4 linked regions of the Caenorhabditis elegans genome follow. The protein of the gene in region 4 interacts with the protein of the main gene of each other region in a pairwise test. Each region holds a gene or a part of one and is shown on either strand. Other genes may lie near its edges.

What was found.
Region 1: the proteins of swsn-1 (region 4) and daf-3 interact in a two-hybrid assay, tested with the Caenorhabditis elegans proteins (one study listed by BioGRID).
Region 2: the proteins of swsn-1 (region 4) and eya-1 interact in a two-hybrid assay, tested with the Caenorhabditis elegans proteins (2 studies listed by BioGRID).
Region 3: the proteins of swsn-1 (region 4) and pha-4 interact in a two-hybrid assay, tested with the Caenorhabditis elegans proteins (2 studies listed by BioGRID).

Annotation. Positions count from the first base shown.
Region 1 is NC_003284.9:819,416-827,301, forward strand, and holds the start of daf-3 (Smad protein daf-3), read right to left. Parts: upstream 6,012-7,886; coding exon 5,987-6,011; intron 5,848-5,986; coding exon 5,659-5,847; intron 4,755-5,658; coding exon 4,653-4,754; intron 4,432-4,652; exon of another isoform or gene 4,427-4,431; coding exon of another isoform or gene 4,399-4,426; coding exon 4,243-4,398; intron 4,196-4,242; coding exon 4,044-4,195; intron 3,998-4,043; coding exon 3,758-3,997; intron 3,564-3,757; coding exon 3,429-3,563; intron 3,277-3,428; coding exon of another isoform or gene 3,268-3,276; coding exon 2,607-3,267; intron 1,317-2,606; coding exon 1,186-1,316; intron 1,007-1,185; coding exon 885-1,006; intron 841-884; coding exon 788-840; intron 456-787; coding exon 284-455; intron 81-283; coding exon 1-80. UniProt on the Caenorhabditis elegans protein: Transcriptional regulator and common SMAD (co-SMAD), required to regulate entry into a developmentally arrested larval state known as dauer, in response to harsh environmental conditions.
Region 2 is NC_003279.8:14,228,343-14,233,158, forward strand, and holds the start of eya-1 (Protein phosphatase eya-1), read right to left. Parts: upstream 3,019-4,816; 5' UTR 2,901-3,018; coding exon 2,883-2,900; intron 2,689-2,882; exon of another isoform or gene 2,647-2,688; intron 760-2,646; exon of another isoform or gene 690-759; intron 1-689. Other genes in the region: clec-114 (PAN-3 domain-containing protein), read right to left, coding at 4,693-4,789. UniProt on the Caenorhabditis elegans protein: Tyrosine protein phosphatase. Acts probably as a transcription regulator in the embryonic and postembryonic development of several tissues including pharynx, vulva and gonads. Required for the development of anterior tissues during late embryogenesis.
Region 3 is NC_003283.11:20,751,464-20,759,081, forward strand, and holds the start of pha-4 (Defective pharyngeal development protein 4), read left to right. Parts: upstream 1-1,588; coding exon 1,589-1,630; intron 1,631-3,877; coding exon 3,878-4,117; intron 4,118-5,065; exon of another isoform or gene 5,066-5,274; intron 5,275-5,446; coding exon 5,447-5,512; intron 5,513-5,570; coding exon 5,571-5,697; intron 5,698-5,960; coding exon 5,961-6,381; intron 6,382-6,693; coding exon 6,694-7,120; intron 7,121-7,180; coding exon 7,181-7,344; intron 7,345-7,618.
Region 4 is NC_003283.11:20,246,449-20,251,074, forward strand, and holds the start of swsn-1 (SWI/SNF complex subunit SMARCC2), read right to left. Parts: upstream 3,035-4,626; 5' UTR 3,013-3,034; coding exon 2,898-3,012; intron 1,302-2,897; coding exon 676-1,301; exon of another isoform or gene 1-675.

The sequences.
Region 1 (7,886 bases), on a different chromosome or scaffold from region 4:
CCGGGTACTTCATGCGGTTTTGAAGCCAAACACTCCCGTCTTTTTTGTAGGAAAAGCGAATTCCATCCACTATTGCTTTACTGAAACATTTCAATGGTTCAAAAGCTTTAAAAATTTGTGTTATTTCTTTAGTTAGAAAATTCATAAGCTGGAAACTATCGAACAACATTTCCGAATTTGGATTGGATTGTTACCCTGATACTGTCATTGCCCAAAAAATTGGATTGTAAAAAAAATTGTACCTATGTTCTATAATATATCAATAAGTTTCAGATTTACTTACCGAACTTTAAACGCCACTGGTTCTCTAATTGGATTTGGCTCAAGTCCGAGACTGTAACGATTCTCAGAGCAAATGAATCCGCCATCCACGTGGAAATTTCCTCTCGAACATTTTTTCTCGCCAATTTGCAAATTTTTCTCATAGTACACAATTGTTCCCCATTTTTCGTTCACTGAAAAAAGCAAGCAGTTTTTTTTTATGTTGTGAACATTTTAAATTTACTTGATCTTTTACATTTTTGGGTATTTATGTATTATATCCCCGTCGTTTTAAATGAAAGTTTTTAAGAAATAAAGCATGAAAACGTGTGGAAGATTTCTTGATGATAACCATTTCTAAATCTGAAGAAGATAATCCATATCACGTTTAATTTAAATAAAGTTATGAATGAAAATTTAATTTAATTTTATGTTGGCGGGGTATAATACATAATTACTCATTTTGTTTTCAATCACTAACACGATTTTTTAAAGTGAACTTTAGAGAGAAAAAAAAGAAACTTACAATCACTAACTTCTGGCCCCTCTCCTGAGAAAGTTACACTTTCTGATGTGAGCCTAAAAAATACTTGGCTTTTAATTCCATGAAAACTAGAACGAACCTCAAAATGAACTTGCAAATGTCATGATATGGTGCATCTTCCGGCATGATGTTCTCCAAAACCTCACCGTCTGTCATCCGCGGTCGAACAACTGTCACACCACAAATCGGCGAATCAAATTCCTAGAAAAAACACAATATTCTTGAATGAAAAACAAAAATCGTTTGTTTGATGATTCAGAAAGCAAAAAGTGACATTAAATTCAATATTTTGTTTGGCACCTTATCGACACAACTTATATGCGATAAGCTGTCAATCTTGAGTGACACGTACATAGTAGCTACATATTAGAAATACTTACTTCAATGAATTTGTTACTAGACCGAATTATTGCGCCGGATTGTTCACTTTCTCCTTCAAAAAATCGATTTCCAAATGTCTGTCTACAGTACCGACGGAACACGTCCAAGGTGACTGTTGATGGTTGTAACACTGTAATTGAGTTTACTTCAAGTTTTACAAATTTTAGGAATGAACTGAAAAGGCGACAAAAAAATGTATCATGTATGATGAAAAGTAAAATTGTTCGCAAAGCGGCTGTAGAAAATCTCTAAAAAAATGAGTTTTGAGAATCAAAATCACTGCTTTTAAACCAACTTCTTTATGCAATAAATCACCGACTATACAACTATAATCATACGCCTCGTGGTCTCAACTTGGCTATTTTTTTAGAAAATAAATCTGATAACTGATATGAAATTGGCAGGACACCTTTTCAAAATGTTGTAAGTTGGCATTTTCCAATCAATTTCAAATAAATTACATGTGTCTACCAGAAGAAGATATTTTGATGAGATCTAAAATAAAAAAACTGCAAAATGTTTATCGAAAAAAAAATTTGCAAAATTGATGCCTTTTCAAACCTACGTGCAAATTTAAAAGGCAAATATTTGAGGGGCTTCATCCTTTCTCGTTATTATCAAGTACTTATATTAGAATTTATGTATAAGGATTAAACTTAACATTAAATTTCCTGCAGAGATTTCTTGATTATTTTGCGAAAGAATATGAACTCTCAATACTATTCATAAAATTTTTTCATACTTAATTCTAGAGCAATTTAGTCAAAATTGTAAAAGCTGCACTTTTAGTGAAGTTTGAAAACGCTTCGTTTTCATCGGAAAAGGGCGAAAATCCAATAGAAAAATTCAAATAAGGCTCTGTTAATGGACATCCCAAAAAGGATTAAACTGCGGGAATTGGCTATGCACCTGTCCGCCTACTTATATTCTACCCCTTTATATAATGAGGTACCCATAAATAATATTTTGCCGTTTCTGGTTTGACACCTGGAGATATTAAACCTTTGTAAATCCATGCCTTGATAGGTGGCAGTATTGTGTGGCTGAGTGACTAAAATTATTAGCTCTCGGCTGGAACACCAAACCAGGGGTGAGCGGCAAACGATTTTTTCAGCCAAATCGGCAAATCGGCAAATTGCTTCAATTAAAATTTCCGTCAAATCGGCAAACCGGCTAATTGCCGGAATCGAAAATTTCCGGCGATTTGCTGAATTTGTGGACAAAAAAAATTGCCAAACGGCAATTGCCGCCCACCCTGACAGCGGACCGGCACATCCTGCCGACATCCGTTCAAAGTCGGAAATTTTCGGCAATCGACAATTCTTGCAATTGCGGCGTCCCTCTAGTTCAACCCTCATGCCTACTGTCAGAATAACTTTTTCTCCTTACAACAACTGTTTTTTTTTTAAATCATACGTACCTGGTCTTGAAATTGGTGGATCATTCGGTACCTGACCTTGGTGCCCTGGTTGATGACTGCCTTGTTGGGACGTATGGTTTTGTGATAGTTGTGGCGGCTGGTGTGGTTGCTGATTGAAAGGATGGTGAAAATCCGGATAAGGAGTTGGAAACCCGTACAAGTTCGGACCACAGTCGTAGGAATAGTGATTTGGATGGCTAATATCATTATAATGGTGATTTTGGTGGAATGGATTGTTGTTTTCTGAAGAGCAACTCGGCCCATTCATTCCATATCCCTGATGGAGAGGTGGTGGCATTTGTGGCATTTGCGGCATTTGCGGAATTGGGTTCATGTTCAACGGGTAATGGGTCTGTGGAGCAATGGAGTACGGATGTGAAACCCCTGGGTTATGTGGCGCCTGATGTGGGAGAGGATGGGCAAACGTTGCGCCAACTGAAGGCAATTGTTGAGGCATAGGCTGAGGCCTTGTGTGCATGTTCATCGGAGGCGGACGAATGGAAGCTGGTGGTATAAATCTACTCATATCGTCAACTGGATCCTGCCGACCTGGAGTGTGGTAGCGTTGATGTGGCGGCGGCATATCTCGATTGTCATGATCCCTCTGCCCAACAATCATAGTTCCAATGACAATTTCGTAGTGATAGGGATTCACGCATACCTGTAAGGCCTAATATTCATATTAAAACTTTTAAAAGTCACATCTTCTCAACATTAGGCAATCAACTTAATCAAACAAAGGTCACAGAGTTAACCGAATAAGGGAAGAAGCTAACATGTGCCACATCACATCAAAGGAAAAATGAAACAATTCACACTTACTTCACCTACCATGTCACTTTTCATTTCAAATGCGTGCTTGCAGTGGTCCACATGACGCGTTTCGTTTTTTGTCATTTCATTAAACCTCCACAGTTTGCCATAGACTACGTGAGGGAAACCTTTTCTTCCGTGGACCTGTAATTTGTATGGAGTTTGTGGGTACTTTGATATCATAAGCTGGTCTAATACAAGTTTCATAATGAAACGTCTCAAAATAAATTCCAAAACTTTTAAAAGTCGGATCATTTATCTAGCGTAGGTTCGTTGAAAGATCATAATTTAATGTCTATAGGCTCAAAATGTGTCCTAGAAATTTTTTTTGATCTCACCTGTAACCGGCCATCAAGTGTCCTTGGAATTGTAATGCAACCGGTATATTTTGTACCTTTTGAAAGAACCACATCAATCAGGTTCTGGAGATCATTCTTCTTATCCTTCAATTTTTTCACCAGGGACTCGCAAGCTTTTTGGTCGAACTCTCGATCAATATTGTTTTTGACCAAGTTCAACGATAATCGATTTCGTTTTGTCCGATACGCATTCAGTTGTATGAGTTCACTTTCTTTTAACTGAAAATGCAATATTGTAATCAGTACTACAAACTTAAGTATTTACCGTTCTATAATACATCAAATATTCTACAATTTTGTTTGGCGGCGCACTAGCGTCGGGAACTTCGATCTTTTTCCGTGCTTCATCTACTGCTGGTTTTCCAAGCTTCAACACATCCAAATCGTACTCGGTCATATTTGTGTTTTTTGTGTCAACTGAAAATATATTAAGTTCTTTTGCTCACACTTTTTTTGCCACTTACATAAATCTGGATCCGGGTAGTTGACACCATCTTCCGGGTCATCATCCTGACTGTCTGGATCCAAATATGGCGGGATTTCCATTTTAATACCACTCCGTTGTAGAATCTTTGTAGTTGTATTCACTGGTGACATCATCGGTGTGTGCTCGTCGGGAACTAGAAGAGAAGTTGCTATTAGCTTCATGGTCAGAGAGAAATAAGGTTTGATAAGCAACGAAATTTGGCAACAATTCGCTTATCAATACGTGTGTTAGTGACTGCCAGACGGTAAACATCATGAGGTTCGTGTTGAAATTTTAGATTTTTTGTTGGCAACAAATTCTTTTGAACCTTCTATTGCACCATTTATGCATCATATTCAACGTTTTTTTTTATTTTCAAGCTATACTACTATGTTCGACGTTATTTACCTTCAGTTTTCGGAGTGATTAGCTTCAACCCGCCATTGAATGCCAATGACTTGTTGGCATCACGAGGTGGTTTCGTGTCCAATGTGATTATTGGTTTAAATTCTGAATTTCAGTTTGAAATGTAAAATTTAAAAAGCAACAAAACGGGGAAGGTTTTTAAAACAAAAAGGAAAATAAGCATATCAAACCAACACAAACCACCATACACCACGACTACTAATCACGTAGGGAAATTGATTTGGTTTTCACTAGATTTCAGTGTTTTACAGAGTTTGCATTACTTGAAAGTTTAAAAAAAATTGAAATTTGAAAATAGAAAGCGAGAATTAGGCAACTGTTAGAAATGCTACGATTTTATTTGCAATTAGAAATACCTTTTTAAATTGATAATGTTGCAGTTTTGCAGCTAATACCAAGGTTGTTTCAGAGTATTCTATGGACAAAATTGCATGTATAACTATTTTTGGTACTTGTGTATTATGCTTCCGCTATTTTAGAAATTAATTTTTTAACTTATAAAATAAAAACTTATAAAACTCGTATTTACCATTCCTGAGCCCAACGAAGAAAATAGATATCAAGTTTAATTTAAATAGATAAATTAATGAAAAATTGATTAATTTCAAAAATAGCGGGAACAAGTACCCTATTTTTTATTTGGTATTTTTTGAGTGCAAAATTAATTTTCAATGTAAGTAGATATAAGAGAATGTAAGAGAATTTTGAGTTCCGCACTACTCGTTGCCACCTTAAAATACTAAAATTTTCTCTAGAAATGTACTAGATTAGTATGTACAAAATTAATAGAAACTGCAAGGCTATTTTCCAACTAGTCACTTCGGGTGCAAGACTAATTGGAAAAAGAAGATGTCTGTTAACTTATCAACATTTGTTCTACTACCAAAATAAGCGATTTTCTGAATAATTCGAATCTATTTTAATTGATATTTTATATCCAACACGACACTCCAAACACTTCACTCCTATAGCTACTATTTAAACTCACCATTAGCCATATTTCCTACATTGAGCAGATTAAAACCTGCTCCAGCCCCGAGCAGGTTCCTCTCATATTCCTCTACATCAGGAATATCTTCCAATCCATGAGAAGGTTTTCCACCATAAAGCGGCCCTCCGGTGCTGGTACCGGGCTGAGAATAGTTGAACTGTGGCGGGATGGAGGTACCGGGAAGGCCTGTAAGTTGGGATATGGACTATGGAATTGGTTTTTTTTTCAAAACTGAAACAGAAGATCCTGTTTTTTTATTCAAACTGTAACTTTTTTTTAAATAACATTCCGAAAATAAAGTAATTTCAATAAAACAAAAACTCACCCGTTAAATTATGATGATCACCCATTTATGTGTACTCTGACTATTAATATTTTTCCTTTACAATTTGATTACCTGTAAAATTGAGTTTTGGAATAAAATTAAAACAACAAGGAAAAACCGGGCGGCAAAGAAGTAGGAAATACAATACCAGCATGGACAATAAAAGGTACAAACTGTGGTATAAACCTGTTTGTCTTTTTTTTTTGAAATATCATGTTTCGTGGTATTTTTGGGAATAAAGGGAGATTGTGTTTATAGGGGAAAAAAAAAGTTGAGAAAAACTTTAATTGTAAAGCTTGATATTTTGAGCTACTGTCAAGATTTTTTGGTGTTTTCAGTAAAAACATATTCAGAAAGGAAAACCAAAAAACCACAGATTTAACTTTTAAAAAATATTATGATTTCGAAAAGAAAATTGAAAAGAATTGTGTTAATAGGAACTTGTTTGGAATCAATTTAAGAGAAATAAAAAAAAGAACGTGTTCAAATACGGGGTATTAAAAGTAATTTTTGACAGTCTATTAATAATAATAATTGACAATTCGAAAATAAAAATAAAAATATCCCAAATTAAAAAAAAAAGATCGAAACCAAACCACTACTTGTTTCTTCGTCTTCTATCTCTTTTTCTCGTTACGCACACTCTATCTCGCTCACTCTTAAACTACGTACGTGTGTCTGCGTCTCTTCGCCCAGCACACTATTTCATTGCTAAAAGTGTGTTGAGGTGGCAGTGCTCGCTGCAAAGAATCGATAAGTTGAGCGTAGTTGGACCAACAAGTGAGAAGACGGGGGGAATAAGATAATGAGGGAACAAGTAGAGAGCTACAAGAGAGTGCACATGACCTCGGTTTGATGTTTTGATCTTTTTTTACTGAAAAAAGAGATTGATAAGAAACTTACAAAAAACCTCTCGTGCAAAACAAAGGAAAAAAAGAACTTCAAGCGTTTTTACCTAAATAATTGTTTTTTTTTATAAGGGTAGTTTGACCTATGCTAAGCATAAAATAGTGAGCTAACTAGAAAAAATAAGTGGTAGACCTACATTGTAAGTACTCAAACATCACAATTTTTAAAAAAAGATCTACAAAATGTATAGATCACTTTCTAGATGACTCATATATATTTTTTGTTTTCACTGGTCTCATCTCAGTTTGATTTTTTGAAATCTCGCCAAATTGATGCGTGTGATATCAGAATGTTTTGTATTAGATTTGTGCAATTGTTTCAGCGAAAAAAACGCTCAAATTTTGTGACCAAAACTGTGTCATAATTAATTAACAAGAAACCACTGAACTATTTGAACATAAACAGAAAAAAAAAGTTGGCTAGTCATTTGCTTTTGGCGAAAAAATTTTGTTTGCATTGATGAAAGTTCATTAGTTTGATCAAGCGGTCAAAAAAAACCGCAAATATTTGAATGAAATCCGTAGATACAATGTGGGCCGAAGGTCAGAGAGACCATGGCATTTTTCAGATAATTTTTTTTTATTGAAAAGGTGGCCACCATAATTCTGAAAAAAAAACCGCGTCTACAGAGAGTATTCAAAAAAAGTTAAATTTTTTTTGTAAAGTTGAAATAACAAATTTTGCCCAATTTAGTTATAACTGTTAAAAATTTGTGGTAGACATTTTAAACAAGAGGAATAAGAGAAATTTATATGAAAGTCGTTAAGGCATTTTTCATTGCACAAAAACTTACAAGATTAAAAAAATTACAATCTCACAGTCCAAACAATCAAAAAACAAATTCAACTAAAGAATCGCGTGATCTTAGCCTTGAAACCGTCAATTATTAACACCTCTAGTACTATAAAAGCGATGGTTTTTCAAAAGATTTTATCGTGAAAGATATCACAGCAGAAACAAAAAGTTCAATTTTTATTGAAGACACTTTTCT
Region 2 (4,816 bases), on a different chromosome or scaffold from region 4:
ATCAAGGGTGTCGGTTTTTCGATTTTTCCAGAAAATCGAAAAATTAAAAATTTTCGATTTTTCGTTTTTTCAAATTCGAAAAATCGAAAATTTTTCGTTTTTCGATTTTCCGAAAAAAACGAAAAATCGAAAATCGAAAAATTTTTCGATTTTTGAAATAAACTTACAAAACAGCTGATAATGTTTTATTTTTGAACCTTTTCGTTGTAGGAGGTTGTAAATATCTATTCAAAAAGGGTTCCCCCACAGGGAAGGATAATCAAAACAGTAAATTTTCACTGAAAAACATCGAAAAATCGAAAAATCGAAAAAATCAAAAAAATCGAAAAATCGAAAAATGACACCCTTGATTCGGATGTACATTAAGCCTAGAATACCCTAAAAATGAGGCTAATATACTGAAAAAAAAAACTTAACAAAATAATTGAAAATCAGCAAAAATCCCTCATTTTTAAAAATTTTCAGAAAAGTTGTCCAAATGGCTCTGTGCGATTTTCAGCGGCTACCAAAGTTACAACCAGGGCTCGAACCCCCGCTGTGGCATATATTTTTATTTAGGTGTTTTTATACTAAACCGGGGAATTTTTTATCAAATCTTGAAATGCTCACTGAGCCCAGGATATTTTAAAAACCAGCTCAAAATTTGGAGAAATTGCCTACAAACCAACAAAAACCCTCGATTTTCAAAATTTTCAAAAAAATTGACCGTATGGCTCAGTGGGATTCTCGGCGTCTACCAATCTCACGGCCCGGGTTCGAACCCCCGCTGTGGCATATATTTTTTCTTTTTCTTTTTCAATGCTTTTACAGACTTCTGAACCCCATCAGGACCCCTCCAAAGCTTGCGAATTTCCGTTCTCAGGAATAATGACGAAACCCGAGCCACCACTCCATTTACATACAGCTCTCAGCTTCTTCTTCCCTCACTACTTTCAAGGCGTCGGACGGGGTGCTTCACAAACAATGCCATCTGTATTTGTTTGCTCGGCGAGCAGTAGCACAGGAGCTTTACATATGTCGCTGTTGTTCAAATACACGGTAGTGGAGGTGATAACTAGGCCGGGGGGCAGTGAAGTAATGAGTGAAAAAATTAAAATTTTGATAAAAACCGGCCAAAAAAATTTGACTTGAATCAATCCCGGAGGGTTCCCCAAAAGCCCTAAAACTTAGTAAGAGCCCGGTGCGGAAAAAAGGTATAAGGGTATCTAGTTTCAAGTGACCGCCGGCGAACAGGTAAGAAAAGAGCCGCGGGAGTTTTCTCAGAGCTCCCCGCCACCAAACAGGTGTTGCGATTTCTACCATAACTCGGTGGAGAGCATAGTTCGAGGAAAGTTGTCAACTAGCAAAATATTACTTGGAAAATTTCCTACAATTTTGTGGTTGGAAACTTTTTTCTTGCTATTCTAGTTTTAAAGTTACGAGGGTTTTAAAAATTTAAAAATAAGCGCCAGGAAATTTTCAAACTCATCTCTTATGCTCATTGAGCCATTTTCTGACTCGTGACTAAAATTTTCGACATGCCTATACCCAAATTAGTCTAAAACACCAAAAAAAAAAAATTAAGCCACAGCGCGGACTCGAACCCGGTCTTCTGCTTGGAAGCCCACCAAAATCCCACTGAGCCACTTGCACCAAATTTTCGAAATTTTATTTTTGGATTTTTTACTGCTTTGCCACAGAAATTGTGCATCGAAGAGCCCCAAGACCTCTGAATTCGATCCCGTCACCACAGGGGGTCCCCCCAACTGTTGCAAGTTGGCTAATGATGGCTATATAATGATGTAATATGGTTGCGTGAGGGGGTATCTAGACTCAACTGGGTATTGGAAAAAGACTAAGGGGTGCCTAAAATCAACTAGTCGCATAAATTGACCAAAAAAAAAATCCAAAATTTACAATAGGGATGTACATCATAATTTTTGATAATTTTTCTGATTAATGTCAGTTTAAAAGGCGATTCGGAGCAAGTTCCTAGTTAAAAATGTATCTTTTTGGAAAAATAGTGAAAATCAAAAATAAGTGTGCTCATTGAGCACCAGGTGACCCAGACATTTGTTTACGTGGATTATAAACTTCGCTAATTATTGATTTGTTTATTTTTCCGAGTTGCAACAAAGTTCGGAATTTTCTACTAAAAAACTTCAACCTAGAAGTTTAAAAGATAGAAATTTGAACTCAGCGCACTCAAATTAATCTAGAAACAGTAAAATGAAAAAATTGTGCCACAGTGCGGACTCGAACCCCGGTCGTCAGATTGGAAGTCATCCGAAATCCCACTGCGCCACTTGGACCAAATTTTCGAAATTGCGAAAAATGAAGAGTAAAAGCTCTGAAAAAAGTTTATTTCAGCTTAAAAATCTACATTTTTATCTGAAACCCCAACCCCGTACCATTAAAATTCGCAGTTCTACTCGTTTTGAGCTCCGAGAGCTTTTTTTCTGGGTTACAAGGAAATTAAAGCCAAGAATCATTTATATAGCTCATCCACACAAAAACAAAAATAAATGCTACAGCGGGGACTCGAACCCCGGGCTTCTGCTCGGAAGCTGTCCAAAAACCCACTGCGCCATTCAGGAACATTTTTAAGATTAGAAATATCGATTTTTCGAGTTTTTTAAATTAAAGTTCACGGTTTAGAAAACTCACAAAATACAGAGAACATTGTAGGAGAGGTTAGCTAGAACTGTCTAGGTACTGAATGGGGAAAGGAGGTACATGGAGGGGGGGGGGGGGGGGGGGGGGGGGGTGTCTTGGAAGAGCTCATCTTACAGACAGACCCTTCTCGCAGAACTTTCTCCAGTTTCATCACCATGCCGATATTTGATACTTTTGGGATGGGGTACCGGGCGCCCGGGGGCGCCCTGAAGCGACATATAACTCACCTCAGAATCTGGAAGCATTTTTTTTTTGATTCAGGAATTGCGAACAATTTCAGATATATAGATTTGGAAATTGTTGAGCAAAAATTTGAGCAACTGGCACGCAGAAGCAGGGAGAGACTGACTCTGATGTATTTGTGTGTGTGTGTGTGCTCTCGTTTTCTCTGCCGGCTCTCTGAGCTCTCGGAGCTCTCACCCCTGAGCTACCGTATGTCTGAGCCAGTCGGCTGTCTGCTCGGAGCTCCGCCTTTTGGTGGAAAATCGCATTATTTTCGGATTCTGAAAAATTAATTTTGAAAAAAAAGTTTTGTACGAGTGACTCAGTGGGATTTTGGAGGGCTACCAATCTGACGACCGGGGTTCGACTCCGCACTGTGGCATAATTTTTTTTCTTTGTTGGTTCGACTATATAAGCCCTGCTGAACACGAATTTTTAACATACAAATTTTTAACTTTTTATTGAAAATAAACTATCAAGCTTAAATTTTAATAGCTCATTGCACCTAGCACACATGAGACATATGCTGAACAGTCCCAAAAAATGCTCAAAATTTTTAAAAATCAGCTCAAACCTCGATTTTCTGAAAATTTGCTCGAATGGCTCAGTGGGATTTTGGAGGGCTTCCAATCTGACAACCGGGGTTCGAGTCCGCACTGTGTCATAAATTTTTTTATTTATTGGTTTGACTATACAAGCCCTGCTGAACACGGATTTCTGACTTATATACTATTTGTAATAACATTTTCAACATTTTGGGGATATATATATATCCCTTCGAAGCTTGGTCTCCAATAGCTTGAACAACTTTAAAACAAGTTCAAAATTGGAAAAAAAAAATATATCGAAATTGCTGAAAAATCAGCTCAAACCGTAATTTTCAAGTTTTTCTGAAAATTTGGCCGAATGGCTCAGTGGGATTTTGGCCGGCTACCAATCTTACGACCGGGGTTCGAGTCCGCACTGTGGCATGAATTTTTGTTTTGCTGTTCTCAGAATAATACAAATCTCCTGAATTCGAATTTTCAACTCTCAAAACCAGAAAGACTTGCTAGGTCGGCTCAAACTTAATTTCTTTTTGTGTACGAGTGGCTCAGTGGGATTCTAGCCAGCTACCAATCTGAGGTCCGGGGTTCGAGTCCGCGATGTGGCATAATTTTTTTTTTGGTGTTATTCTACTAAATTTCGACTTTCCGAGTTCGAATTCGGTCAAAAATTAGACATTTCCACACTGCTTTGTGATTTTTTCGAACTTTTATACCTTCTCAAAAAATCGATATTATTTGTTGATTTTACCCCCTTCCCTTATTTTCCTCTCATTTCTGAGAGTATAGGGAGATGGGGAGCGTGCGAAAGCGGCGAAGCGATCATATTTCAGTTTTCGGGAGCACAGAGTCGAGACGCTGACTTCAATTTTAGTAGTATATGGGACGAGGGACGATTTTGCAATGGAATATTGATTTTGGAGGAAACCCATTGAGTTTTAAGGCATGGGACCTTGAAATTCGGATTCAGAATGTCGATATTAGCCAAATAACACTAAAACAAAAAAATATGCCAAGGCGCGGACTCGAACCCAGGTGGTGAAATTGGTAGTCACCCAAAATCCCACTGAGCCAGTCGGACAAAAAGTTGAAAAGTTCTAGAAAATATGAAATTTGAATAGCAAAATAAAATTAGAAGTCTTAATAAGAAGTTTTCAATAATTCAGGTACTGCTTTCAAAAATTAGCAGGTCGAATTCGGAAACTCTCGAGAAAAATGCTTCTGTGGGCTTCTCGAACAGTTTATGAACCTGGAAGTTTGAAAAATAAAATTAAAATGTTGAATTTAGACTAGTGGGCTTCACTCCGCAGACGTATCCTTTGTAGCATATATTTGTGGGTACCAGCCCTGCGGTTGACATGTTGCATCTAAAAAATTCGAATATTTGGAAAAAA
Region 3 (7,618 bases), 500 kb from region 4:
CTATTCCCCTTAACAAAGAAACGATAGCAAAGGCCTAAAGAATAGTGTTACAAAAGATTCTACCGACGATGAGCTATGCGGAAAGCGGAACCATTAAACTTTTGTCAAAAGGTGATAATGGACCATCTAACTTATTGGTCACTTTCCTGTCTTTGTAACTATTATGTTGATAACCCTCATTATCAGTGCCCTTGATGGACGGAGCAACGAGAGGGCAATGCTGTGAACGTCTCTTTTGATACAGTAACTATCCATTGGGAGATTAGTCATTCCTGAACCTAATACTAGTTTCGGATGCTTGGGTGTGGTATGCAATGAAAAATCAATGAGACGGAACTTGAACTCTGTTTTTTGTGAATCGTTGAAATGATTCACCTGTTCCAAGTTATTTTTGGGAGTATTAGCGTCTCATTGATTTAACTTTCTTATTGCTTTTTTTTGATTTACAGTAATTATTATACCAGTATTGAACACTTTAATAGTCTCGCACAGACTTGTTACCAGATGTACCGTATCTATTAATTAAAAAAAATAAATCGGAACGATTTGAAATTTTGAAAATTGTGAAAATTTTAATTTTCGTGCCTAAAACAGCATCAAGCAAATTTTTTGTCAAAGCTTGATTCTTTTTCTCAAGGTTTTCAAAAATTCAAAAGTTAGTACTGTGCCTTCAATAAAACTTGTAGTCTCTTAGTCTTACACACCAACGGACCAATGGACATTGTATGAATGACTGAAACAAAAAATATATTATACTTTTTTGTGATATCTTTTTAAATTGCCCTTTGTTAATACTACCTAATTCTTAACTGCTATTAACTGCTACACAACTAGCCTTATCTTGCTCCCATAACGTATCTAAATGTCGCGCGCGCGGCGTCCGTCCTCTTATGTATCTGTACCAGTCACAAAATTGTGTTGATGAAAAAGGCAAGAAGAAGAAGAATGGCAGTTGAGGGTGAGAAATTTATTTTTCCTATTGTCGTGGGGGAGATTGGACGGTTTCATTTTTTCAAATGAGATATTAAAACATGATTAGGAAGAGTTGAGATTAGCTGATTGTGAGCTTAATGATAGTTTTTGGAGTTCAATGTTAAACTTTCCATTTCTACACCACTATACGATTCTGGGTCACTAAACACCCTTGCTCAGACGGCTTTTCAAAGAAACACCATCTCCCCTCTCCACCACCCTACGCCTGTACAAAATGACTCAAAAGGGCACCGCGCCCGCTCTCGGTCTCCGATCACTCAGTCTCTCTCTCTCCCTCCACAACCCAAAAAGGAGGCTTGCAGAAGTAGAGAAGCAGAGAGTGACGATCGCTGTCTCCAGGTGTCCGTGTCAAACTCTCTTATCAATCAGTGCTCTTTTTCTCTCGTGTTACTGCGTCTCTATGTCCATTCCCTTCTACTCATTCCCATACAGCCCCCTTCTACACCACCATCATCACCATCACACTGTCACAGTGTTGATAACGAAGAGTCGTATCAAGAGACCTAACAAAATCACCCAACCCCAGCCAATATTACCTTATACACCCTATCTGTCCACTGCGTATTTTTTGAAGGACTATCTAATTTGAGATACAATGACATCGCCATCCAGTGATGAGGACATTATTGATATAAGGGTAAGGCACCAGTTATTTTCTGCTTCATGCATCGTTTTTTTTTAAAATTGTTCGGGGCCTCTGAAAACGTTTTTGTTAGCTCCCGGCTGTATGCTCACTTTTTTCGAAATTAAAAACTTACAACCATCTTTGCCACACATGTTTAATCTATTTCTGCAGCTACCTTTCTATTTCTCTTCTGAAACAATCTGAAAATGAGCACCTTCTGTGTATAATAGCACATAAGTGCTCATTAACAGGGGATACTCGATGTCAATATGACCCGGCCAGGATGCTAGGTTGCCACCTATTATTGCTCCATTGGTATTCTGGGAAGATGCACATTTTGAGAATATCATGAACATCTGTGATTTGTCAGAAATAGTTTAGGTTATTGTTCAGCTTACCATATTTTCTTCAAACATCACTACAAACTTTTTTAATGACATTAAATACATTTTTTCTAAGTTCAATAGCTTTTTTGGAATTTGAATGTTAGTCATGAACTCTTAAAATATGCAAGGCTCAAAAAGTGAAATTGTTAAAACTTTCTTTTAAGATTTTTTTATCGATTCTCTTTTCGGAGAGATACAATGAAAATTTGATTCTCACGGTCCACGCACAAAGTTTTTTCTTCGTTTTGCTAGAAAAAATTTCTATGGAACAATTTGAACATGTTTTGAAACACTGTGGAAAATTAAAAGTTTTCATATTTCGATAATAAGAGCTCCCGAAAAAAATGCTCCAAAAACAAAACTCGGGCCATCCAAATATTTTTTGTTTCGATGGATGAAATGCGATATTCACCGAAGGGGCACCACCACCAGTGGCTCCGAAAGCTTCCACCCAAAAATGGGAGCCTCCTAGACGTATATTTTGTGCTCTTTTCTACTCTCTCGCTCCTCCTTCCCATGCAAATATTTGACAATTTCGCAGTGTGTATGTGATATCAGTTTTTGTTTGCCAATTGTTGTTTCTTTTATTTGCCATGTTCGTTTCACACGGTTTCAGTGATAAATATGTGATAAGCTTCAAGACGAACCTAATTTTTTTAGAACAAAATATGACGAAATGGGGTTCAAAAGTTTGGATTTACCATGGAAAATGTTTTTCTCACTTTACAATTACTATTCTTATAGACATGAATTTTCTTTTTCCTAAAAACGTCCCACACTTTTTGATTCTAATATACCTACACCTATTTTGAAATAATGAAATCATATCGAGTGAGTATTGATAAGAAACCTCTTCTTCCGCCTACACTGCTTTCTACTCTATTTTACGATTATTGATTATTTTGGAGAAGTGTATAAGATAATGAGTCAGCGCAGTTAATGCTCAATAATAACAGGTGCTAAAAAATAGGCGGCAGATGGATGATAGTCGTCTCAAGTTTTTTTACGATTTTGAATCACAGCTGGAAAAAACGACTGTTAGGGCGAACATCTGGACCCAGAAATATTCATTCAAAATTTGCTTGAAAGAACCATTCAAAATCGGACTAAAAACGGCGGCAATAGTAAAAGGAAATAGTTTTTAAAAAAAGGCGAATCGGCAAACTGCCGGTGCCGGATATCAGATTTGCCGGAAATGTTTAGAGGGATTTTTTCGTAAGACCGAAACACTTTGCCGGAAATTTTCAATTCCGGCAATTTGCCGATTTGCCGGAAAAATTGTTTGCCGCCCACCCCTGATTGATACCACGCCTCTTTTCAATCAATAATAAAAGTTTTAATAAAAATGTGAGAGGACCCATAGCGGTATTGATAAGGTGGTCTAAGAAAAGAAAAAAAATTAAGATTTCTCTTGTAGATTTTGTTGAAACATTCACATGTTTTTAAAAAAATAGCGATAGTTTTTTTTTTCAACTTCGCCGCCACGTAGTAAAACCCTCGCATCCCGAACCTATTTCCAACCCACTCTCATTTCGTCATCGTTCTTCAGCTCTTGAAATTGCCGTTTGTATCATTTGGTGCTATATATTGCATTTTTAAGAGATTTCCTTGCCGCTTTTCCTCTCATCAACCCTTAAGCTTTCGCCGAAATTGCCCCCGGACATATTTTCAATTTCTTCACATCTGAATCCTCCTCCCTCCTCTATCCCACTTGTATGTAATTCTATACCACACCACCTCATTCTTAGTATCCTAGTACGTGCTAGGCTAGGACACAAAATTGGGTCAAGTGGAAAAGAGATATTTTGGAAAATTCAATGAAAAATTTGAGAACTTTTTAACAATGAAAAAAATTAAACTATTTTGTTTGAAGGTCATCAAAGAGGAGCCAGAGTCGGAACCTGACTCTGAAGCCGAGCCAGCCACAACCACGAATTCAACGGATTCAGAAGATTCTGTGGAACAGGAAAATAAAAAGTTATTGGAAACCGAGAAGAATCGAAAACGCGAGCAGAAACATAAAATGTTGCCAAATGGAACCACTTCTGGGACCTCCGACACGGGAAATCAGGTGCCTGCCACGTCGTCGGCTGCTTCAAGTGTAGACTATACGGTAGGTATGGTGCGGCAAATTTGGTAGGGTGTCAAAAATAAAGTAATAATAATAATCGTCATTTTTAACCCAAGCTTATCAGAATAAAAAACCATATGGCTAGTTGTATAACCGTCTGGCGTATCTTTTTGATGATTAATTTTTTGAGTAGGTAAATGCACTGTGAGTCATTTAGTTTTTTTATTCTTCTGTTTAACTTGTTAGTTTCTGCAATAAGTTTTAAAATTTCAATTCGTTAATCAATTTTTTAAATCGAAAATATTTCTTTGAAATTCAATCCCAGATTCTGAGTATATCACCAAAATTTAGAATTGCGAAATATTTTGAGGTCCAATACGGCTCAACATTAAAATCAACCAAAAATTAAAGAGTGATAACCAAATAGGGATTATGTTCAAGACGCTGTGACACCAAGAAGTTGGCAAAAAAAATTTGATTTTAGCTGAAAATGGGCAAATTTTTTCTAGAACTTTGAACCGCCATAGCTTTTTTTTGAGAAATTTTTAAAACGTCTCATTATGAAATTCGGTAGTTTTGCGTCATTTTGGGTTAAAAAAGCAAAGTCTCAGATTTCGGTACTCCTCATTTAATAAAAATTCGATTTAAAATTGTAGCAGTTAGTTTTTTTTTTGTAAAATTTTTTAGAAAAGTAGCTAAAAAGTAGCAAAGTGATGGTGTCCAGAAGAAAATAGAAATTGTGAGGTCCTCCTACCAAAAGAAGAAGGGGCTGGGCGTCGTGTTGCCCAAGAAGCCAAATATTTATTCAATTTCTATTTATTTATCCGACGACGACGAGGAACCCCCCCCCCCCCCCCCCCCCCCCCCCCCACCGTCCACAAACACACACACAACCAAAATTAGAATTCTTAAAAAAGCACCACGTGGAGATTACAATTAGTGAAACACCTATACTATTTTCAGCCATGAGTCAGTTGAAATCTAAAACAAGGTAAAAATCCGAAATGGGCGGAGTCCGCGACGGGGTTACTGTGGCTAAGCGATAGGCGGTGCGCACGCGCATAGGAGGGCAAGGTAGGCGGAGTCCCGCTGCTCTAGTGCCTAGCCTCTCCTTCACCTCTCTTCTTCAGTACGGGGCGTTCTACTTACCTTTGAGCATCATCTTTTTAAGGAATTTCCAAGGCTCAGGTTCAGAGGTCAAACGGGACTTATTTGTTCATTTCCATGTCTAGCTCCACGTGTGGGGCTTCCGAATTTTCTAAATATTTGTTATTTGTTATAAACACACACACACACACACATTTTGTATTTATCTTTAAATATTTACATAATCCCAGACCTCAAAGCAAACTTTCAATTTTTTTCTTGCAGGCCATGAACGCTCAGGACTATCTGCCGACGTATTCTAATACTACGTTAAACTACCAACCATATCAGGTAAAAAGTTTGACCCTGTTCTCACTAATAAGTCTAATAACATCCATTCTACTTTCAGTACCAGACTGCTGCCAATGGACTTCTGAACTACAACAACTACAGCCAGTATGCCACTGCTAATCAGCTCGGATCGAACTACATCAGCCCAGCCAATTTCATGCAAGGAGGAGGAATTTCACCTCTTGGTAAGTTTTAAAATATCCCTAATTGTCTAAATACTAACTCTCACATACATAAAAACAGTATAGCATATAATTATTTTTAATACGGTTAAGACAATGCATGAATTTATATCTATAGACAATCCTGATTAAATAAATTATTGTGAGATACTCTTCACTCTGAAAGCTCTAAATATTTCCCAAGCACAAAATGAGTATCCATTATTCATTCATACCTACCTTGAGTGGCGCTCTCTATACACAATTTGTAATTTGATCTCATTCAGGTTTTACCACTGGCACCACCGGAGCCACCACAGCGGCCGCTTCCGTGGCCACGTCGTCCGCCTCAGCGGTCATCGGAAGAAGCAATGGACGATCAAGCTCGACGGTTGCTGCATCGCCAGCCGATAGGTCTTATTCTGGTGTAAGCGGAGGGCAAGGCCAAGAACTCACGATTCAGGAATTTGAAACTGTCACGGAAAAGATCAGAAGACATGGAACTTATGGACAATCGAAACCTCCATACTCTTACATTAGCTTAATTACTATGGCAATTCAAAAGTCTAATTCTAGACAATTGACATTGTCTGAAATCTACAATTGGATCATGGATTTGTTCCCTTACTATCAGAACAATCAACAAAGATGGCAAAACTCAATTCGCCACTCCCTCTCCTTCAATGATTGCTTTGTAAAGGTTGCCAGGTAAGAGTCTTGAAAATTAAAGTTTTTTCTGGACACGTTTTGTCCCGATAAAAAACTTCTTATTGTTTTCCCACAAAAACCATCATTTCCTATTATAATCGGAACCTATATAGTTTATCTCAAGGACTACCTTTTCTGCAGCGCCACATTTATTATACCGTGCGCCCAAGGGACACCCATTGATGCGTGAAGCTGTTGAAATGAGAAATTACCGGAGAGAGTGAGGGTGCGCGTTAGTGAAAAGATTTGACAAAAAATCTATATGGATGTTTTCCGGAAACGATTTACAAAGACTAAGTTTATAATTTTCAGGTCCCCTGACAAGCCTGGAAAGGGATCCTTCTGGACTCTTCACGAGCACTGTGGGAATATGTTTGAGAATGGATGCTACCTCCGTAGGCAGAAGAGATTCAAGGTCAAGGAACGTGAGCCATCGAGAAAGAAGAGAAATGCCAACTCCCAACAATTGCATCAACAACAACACATTCCAAAAATGGAAATCAAAGAAGAGGATCCAACATCCATCACGACCACATCATCACTTGGTGCTTATTCTCTGATCCCTCAAATTTCTACAAAGAAGGAGATCAAGGAAGAGCTGAAAGCTGTGCAAGATGCAACTGCAGCTGCTGCCAATCTTGGCCTAATTGACCCATCGGGAACGCCGTCGGCTGTTAATCACAGTCAACCTACTTCAGTGATCTCAAGTGTTGGCACACTAGGAACCACGCAAGCACAGGTAAGATAAAATCTAGCCAGTGAATACAATATTTCAAGCTCCCATTTTGAATTTTTTCAGATGACACTCAATGGTCAATACGCGTCTCCTTACCTCTACAGTTCGGATTTTGCCACAATTCTCCCACAATCCCAGAATTTCCTGAACAACACACTCTACAACACAACGAGCAGTTATCCAGGAATTGACTACACCAACGGAGTATACCAGAATACTCTTTACAGGTATGTCTGATGGTATAACTAACGATGTTTTGTTGACCCCCTACTAATTTTTTTCGTTTGTTTTCCTTGTTTAAAACACATCATTTATTTTCTACGGTCTCATGATTATTTTGAATGTTTTAGAAGTTAACAATAAATTTCAATTTAGTAAAAATTGGAGTCTGGTTCTACTCGGTCATAATAGTAAGATTTAAAAAAGTACTAACGAATTTGATAGTATTGGTTTTTATTATCAAGGAAAGTATTTCAACTTAATCCCGGAATTCTGAATAAA
Region 4 (4,626 bases):
CAAAATATCAATATGTTGGGATTTTTCACTGAAAATTCGAAAAATTTCAGTGAAAATCGATTTTTCTGTTGAAAAATTCAAAAACTGCGGGATTTTTTCGGTTTTTCATGACAATTGGCCGAAAAATCAGAAAATTTCTCGCGAAAATCGATTTTTCTGATGAAAAATTCAAAAATTGAGGGATTTTTTCGGGTTTTCCATAATAATTGGTCGAAAAATTAAAACTTTTCAGTGAAAATCGATTTTTCCGATGAAAAATTGTGTGAAATTGCCGATTTTCGCTCAAAAATAGCCGGAAAATGCTCAAATTTGCACTGAAAATTCCAATTATCCTCAAATTTGCACTAAAAATTCCAATTTTTCTCAAATTTGCACTAAAAATTCCAATTTTTCTCAAATTTGCACTAAAAATTCCAATTTTTCTCAAATTTGCACTAAAAATTACAATTTTCCTCAAATTTGCACTAAAAATTCAAAATTTCCTCAAATTTGCACTGAAAATTCCAATTTTTCTCAAATTTGCACTGAAAATTTCAATTTTTCTCAAATTTGCACTAAAATTCCAATTTTCCTCAAATTTGCACTGAAAATTCCAATTTTTCTCAAATTTGCACTGAAAATTCCAATTTTTCTCAAATTTGCACTGAAAAACCAAGGCAGACGCCAGGTACGCACTCTCATCGCGATGGCCTGCTTCTGATACTGATCAATTTTCAGGCCGGGCGTCGAAATGGACTCAATCTCAGTCTTAATCTCCTCTTTTGGTGGCTCCCCAGATGCTCCAGCAGACTCCTTTCCAGGTGGATTCATTGGCTGAATGCCAGTCGGTGTATCAGCTAAAACCATAAAATGGCTTGTTGGTGGCGGAGCAACAGGAGCCGGCCGAGCATCCGAATCAACTTGATAATTCAGCAGGCCCCATTGCTCGAGAAACGAGTGAAGCCGCACAATTGAGCACACATCACCGGCCAAATTCCGGCGACAAGCCGTCGCAGACACGTATTCAAATGGATTCAGACGGTACGTGTCGACCATAAAATTACGGTAGGCAACGTAGACGTCCGGTGTCTTGCTCTTATTCTTTCCGTTGAAAAATTCAGGCATTGCGCGTTTCTCGATTTGATGAATTGCGTTATAGTCGAACCAGCCGGCGTATGAGGGGACTACAATGTAGTGGGTCTGCTCAATGACGTTTCCTTCGGCGAGTTGTGGAGCTTCTTTTGTTGATTGGACACCTTCTTCGTCGAGATCAGTGAGCTTTTGGCCTTTTGGTGCGCTGAATTCGGCGTCTTTTTCCTTTCCTGCAAAAGAGAATTGGTTGGAAATTGAGGGGAAATTGGATTAGCAGCGCCCAAAACTTGTAGTTTGTAGTTTAGCAGCGCCCAAAATTGAATTAGCAGCGCCCAAATCTTGTAGTTTGTAGTCTAGCAGCGCCCAAAATTGAATTAGCAGCGCCCAAATCTTGTAGTTTGTAGTTTAGCAGCGCCCAAAATTGGATTAGCAGCGCAAAAAACCTGTAGTTTGTAGTGTTAGCAGCGCCCAAAATTGAATTAGCAGCGCCCAAATCTTGTAGTTTGTAGTTTAGCAGCGCCCAAAATTGGATTAGCAGCGCAAAAAACCTGTAGTTTATAGTGTTAGCAGCGCCCAAAATTGAATTAGCAGCGCCCAAATCTTGTAGTTTGTAGTTTAGCAGCGCCCAAAATTGGATTAGCAGCGCAAAAAACCTGTAGTTTGTAGTGTTAGCAGCGCCCAAAATTGAATTAGCAGCGCCCAAATCTTGTAGTTTGTAGTCTAGCAGCGCCCAAAATCGGTCAGCAGCGCCCAAAATTGAATTAGCAGCGCCCAAAATTGAATTAGCAGCGCCCAAAACTTGTAGTTTGTAGTTTAGCAGCGCCCAAAATTGAATTAGCAGCGCCCAAATCTTGTAGTTTGTAGTTTAGCAGCGCCCAAAATTGTATTAGCAGCGCCCAAATCTTGTAGTTTGTAGTTTAGCAGCGCCCAAAATCGAATTAGCAGCGCCCAAAACTTGTAGTTTGTAGTTTAGCAGCGCCCAAAATTGAATTAGCAGCGCCCAAATCTTGTAGTTTGTAGTTTAGCAGCGCCCAAAATTGTATTAGCAGCGCCCAAATCTTGTAGTTTGTAGTTTAGCAGCGCCCAAAATCGAATTAGCAGCGCCCAAATCTTGTAGTTTGTAGTTTAGCAGCGCCCAAAACTTGTAGTTTGTAGCTTTAGCAGCGCCCAAAAAAATTTTAGGAAGGAAATTTGGAAAAATCTGGTTTTTTTTGGTCCTGAAATGCAATTTTGACCGAAAAATTGGTTTTTTTCTGGAAAAATCAGATAAAAATGCGATTTTTTCAGAAATTTCGAAGAAAATCTGAAGAAAAAGCGCTGAAAAATTCCATTTTTGGCTAAAATTTAAATTTCCGATTTTTTTTCCAAAAAATGAGTAGAAATTTTGAAAATGCGCTCTGGAAATGTTCGAATTTTGACCAATTTTCGCTAAAATTTAGCTTAGCAGCGCCCAAAATTCAAATTTCGGTCTTTTTCGAATGAAACTTGAAAAAAAAAAAGTTCACTTTTGCGTAAAAAATGTGTTGAAAAAAGCATTTTCGAGTGTAAAAAACCAATTTTTTGCGTTTTTCAACTCTCAATTCCGGAAAAAATGGAAAAATTATGCAAATTTCCCAGAAAATCAAAGTTTTCCAGTCAGTTATTGCAAAAACTTGAGCTCTGACGCTGAAATTGCACTTTTTGAGGGTATTCGGGCTGCCCGGAGCCAGATTTTCACGGATTTTGCTCGATTTTTTTCGATTTTGTCGGAGAAAATCACTAAAAAATGCGTTTTTCAGAGCTATTTTTCCGCATTTTCGCCGAAAATTCCACACAGATTTCGCTACCTTTCGGCACTTCAACCTTCACAGCGGCACCACTTCTGCTATCATCGTCGTCGCCGGTCATCGAAACGTCACCGTCATCGTCGTCGCGTCTCCGCTTCGACGCTCCCTTCTTCATTCCACTTTTCGACGAAATTTTGCTGAAATTTAGCGGGGAATTGAAAAGATTTTCAGGGTTTTCAGCGAGGAAAAAGCATATTTATGGGCAGAAAATTGCGAAAAAATCGATTTTTTTCACTGAAGTGAGCAGAAAAACGGCAAAATTTCTAGGAAAAATGTCTGTAAAATCAAGAATTTTAACAGAAAACTGTGGAAACTGCAAAAATCTCGTATTTTCTTGGAATTTCTTTCGAAATTTTCAATGAAATTATGACTAAATAACCTTAAAAAGAGACTTTTAACAAAAAACTGCGAGAAAATTGGTCGAAATTGGTCCAATATCGAAATATCGAGGCCCGCGTAGATTCAAACAAGGCGGCAGTGTGAGGGAGCTCGCGCGTAGTGAGAGACGCCAGAGAAAACAGAGAAAACGAGAGAAATAGTGTGGAGAAACGAGAGAGAGCGCAGAGAAAGGAGGCCTCGTGGAGAGGGAGAGAGAGAACGCGGGATGAACATCTGCTCAGAAAATGGAATACGGGGGGACCTGTAGGACGGTGGGGGAATTATCGATTTTCTTGGGGTAATTGGGATTTTGCAGCGCTAAAATAGAGCGGGAATTGTAGGAAATTTGAAAATTTTCGATTTTTCCAGGGAAAAATCCCGGAAAATTTCCGAAATTTGAAGCATTTTTGAGAAAAATCGAGCTAAAATCTTGTAGTTTGTAGTTAGAATTCAGGAAAGTTGAAGAAAATTTGATTAAAAATTGATTTTAAGCGAAAAAATTCGAATAAATCGAAAAAATTGACAAATTCAAGCATAGCAGCGCCCAAAAAGCTGTAGTTTGTAGTTTTAGCAGCGCCCAAAATCGAATTAGCAGCGCCCAAAACTTGTAGTTTGTAGTTTTAGCAGCGCCTAAAATTTGAATTAGCAGCGCCCAAAACTTGTAGTTTGTAGTTTTAGCAGCGCCTAAAATTGAATTAGCAGCGCCCAAAACTTGTAGTTTGTAGTTTTCGCAGCGCCTATAATTTGAATTAGCAGCGCCCAAAAAGCTGTAGTTTGTAGTTTTAGCAGCGCCTATAATTTGAATTAGCAGCGCCCAAAACTTGTAGTTTGTAGTTTTAGCAGCGCCCAAAAAGCTGTAGTTTGTAGTTATTTTGAACTTTTTTTGATGAAAATTGAGGAAATCGGGCTTTTTTTCCGAAAAATTCGCATTTTTTAGCGATTTCTAGCAAATTTCAGCGAAAAAATGGCAAAAATTACGTAAATTTCAGTAGAAATTCCAGTTTTCGAGCTGAAAAAGAGCAAAAATAGAGCATTGAGGGGGGTATTTAACCACATCAAAAAAGTTGAAAATACAACGGAAAAAACGATAATTAATTTGAAAAATGTCTTGTTTTGTTGTTCAATGAAAAGCGTCACAATGATGATAATGGTGAATAATGAATAAATATAAAAAATACACAAAAAAAAGTACACAATTTAGTGATAAATAGAGCGATAAATCGAGATCAATTCAAAAAATTGGAAAAACGGTTCGGACGATTTTGAACGTATAGAAGCCTAAAATGAGCTCAAATGAACGAATTTTGTAATAAAACTGCTCAAAAATTTTAAATTTTTTAAAAATTGTTTT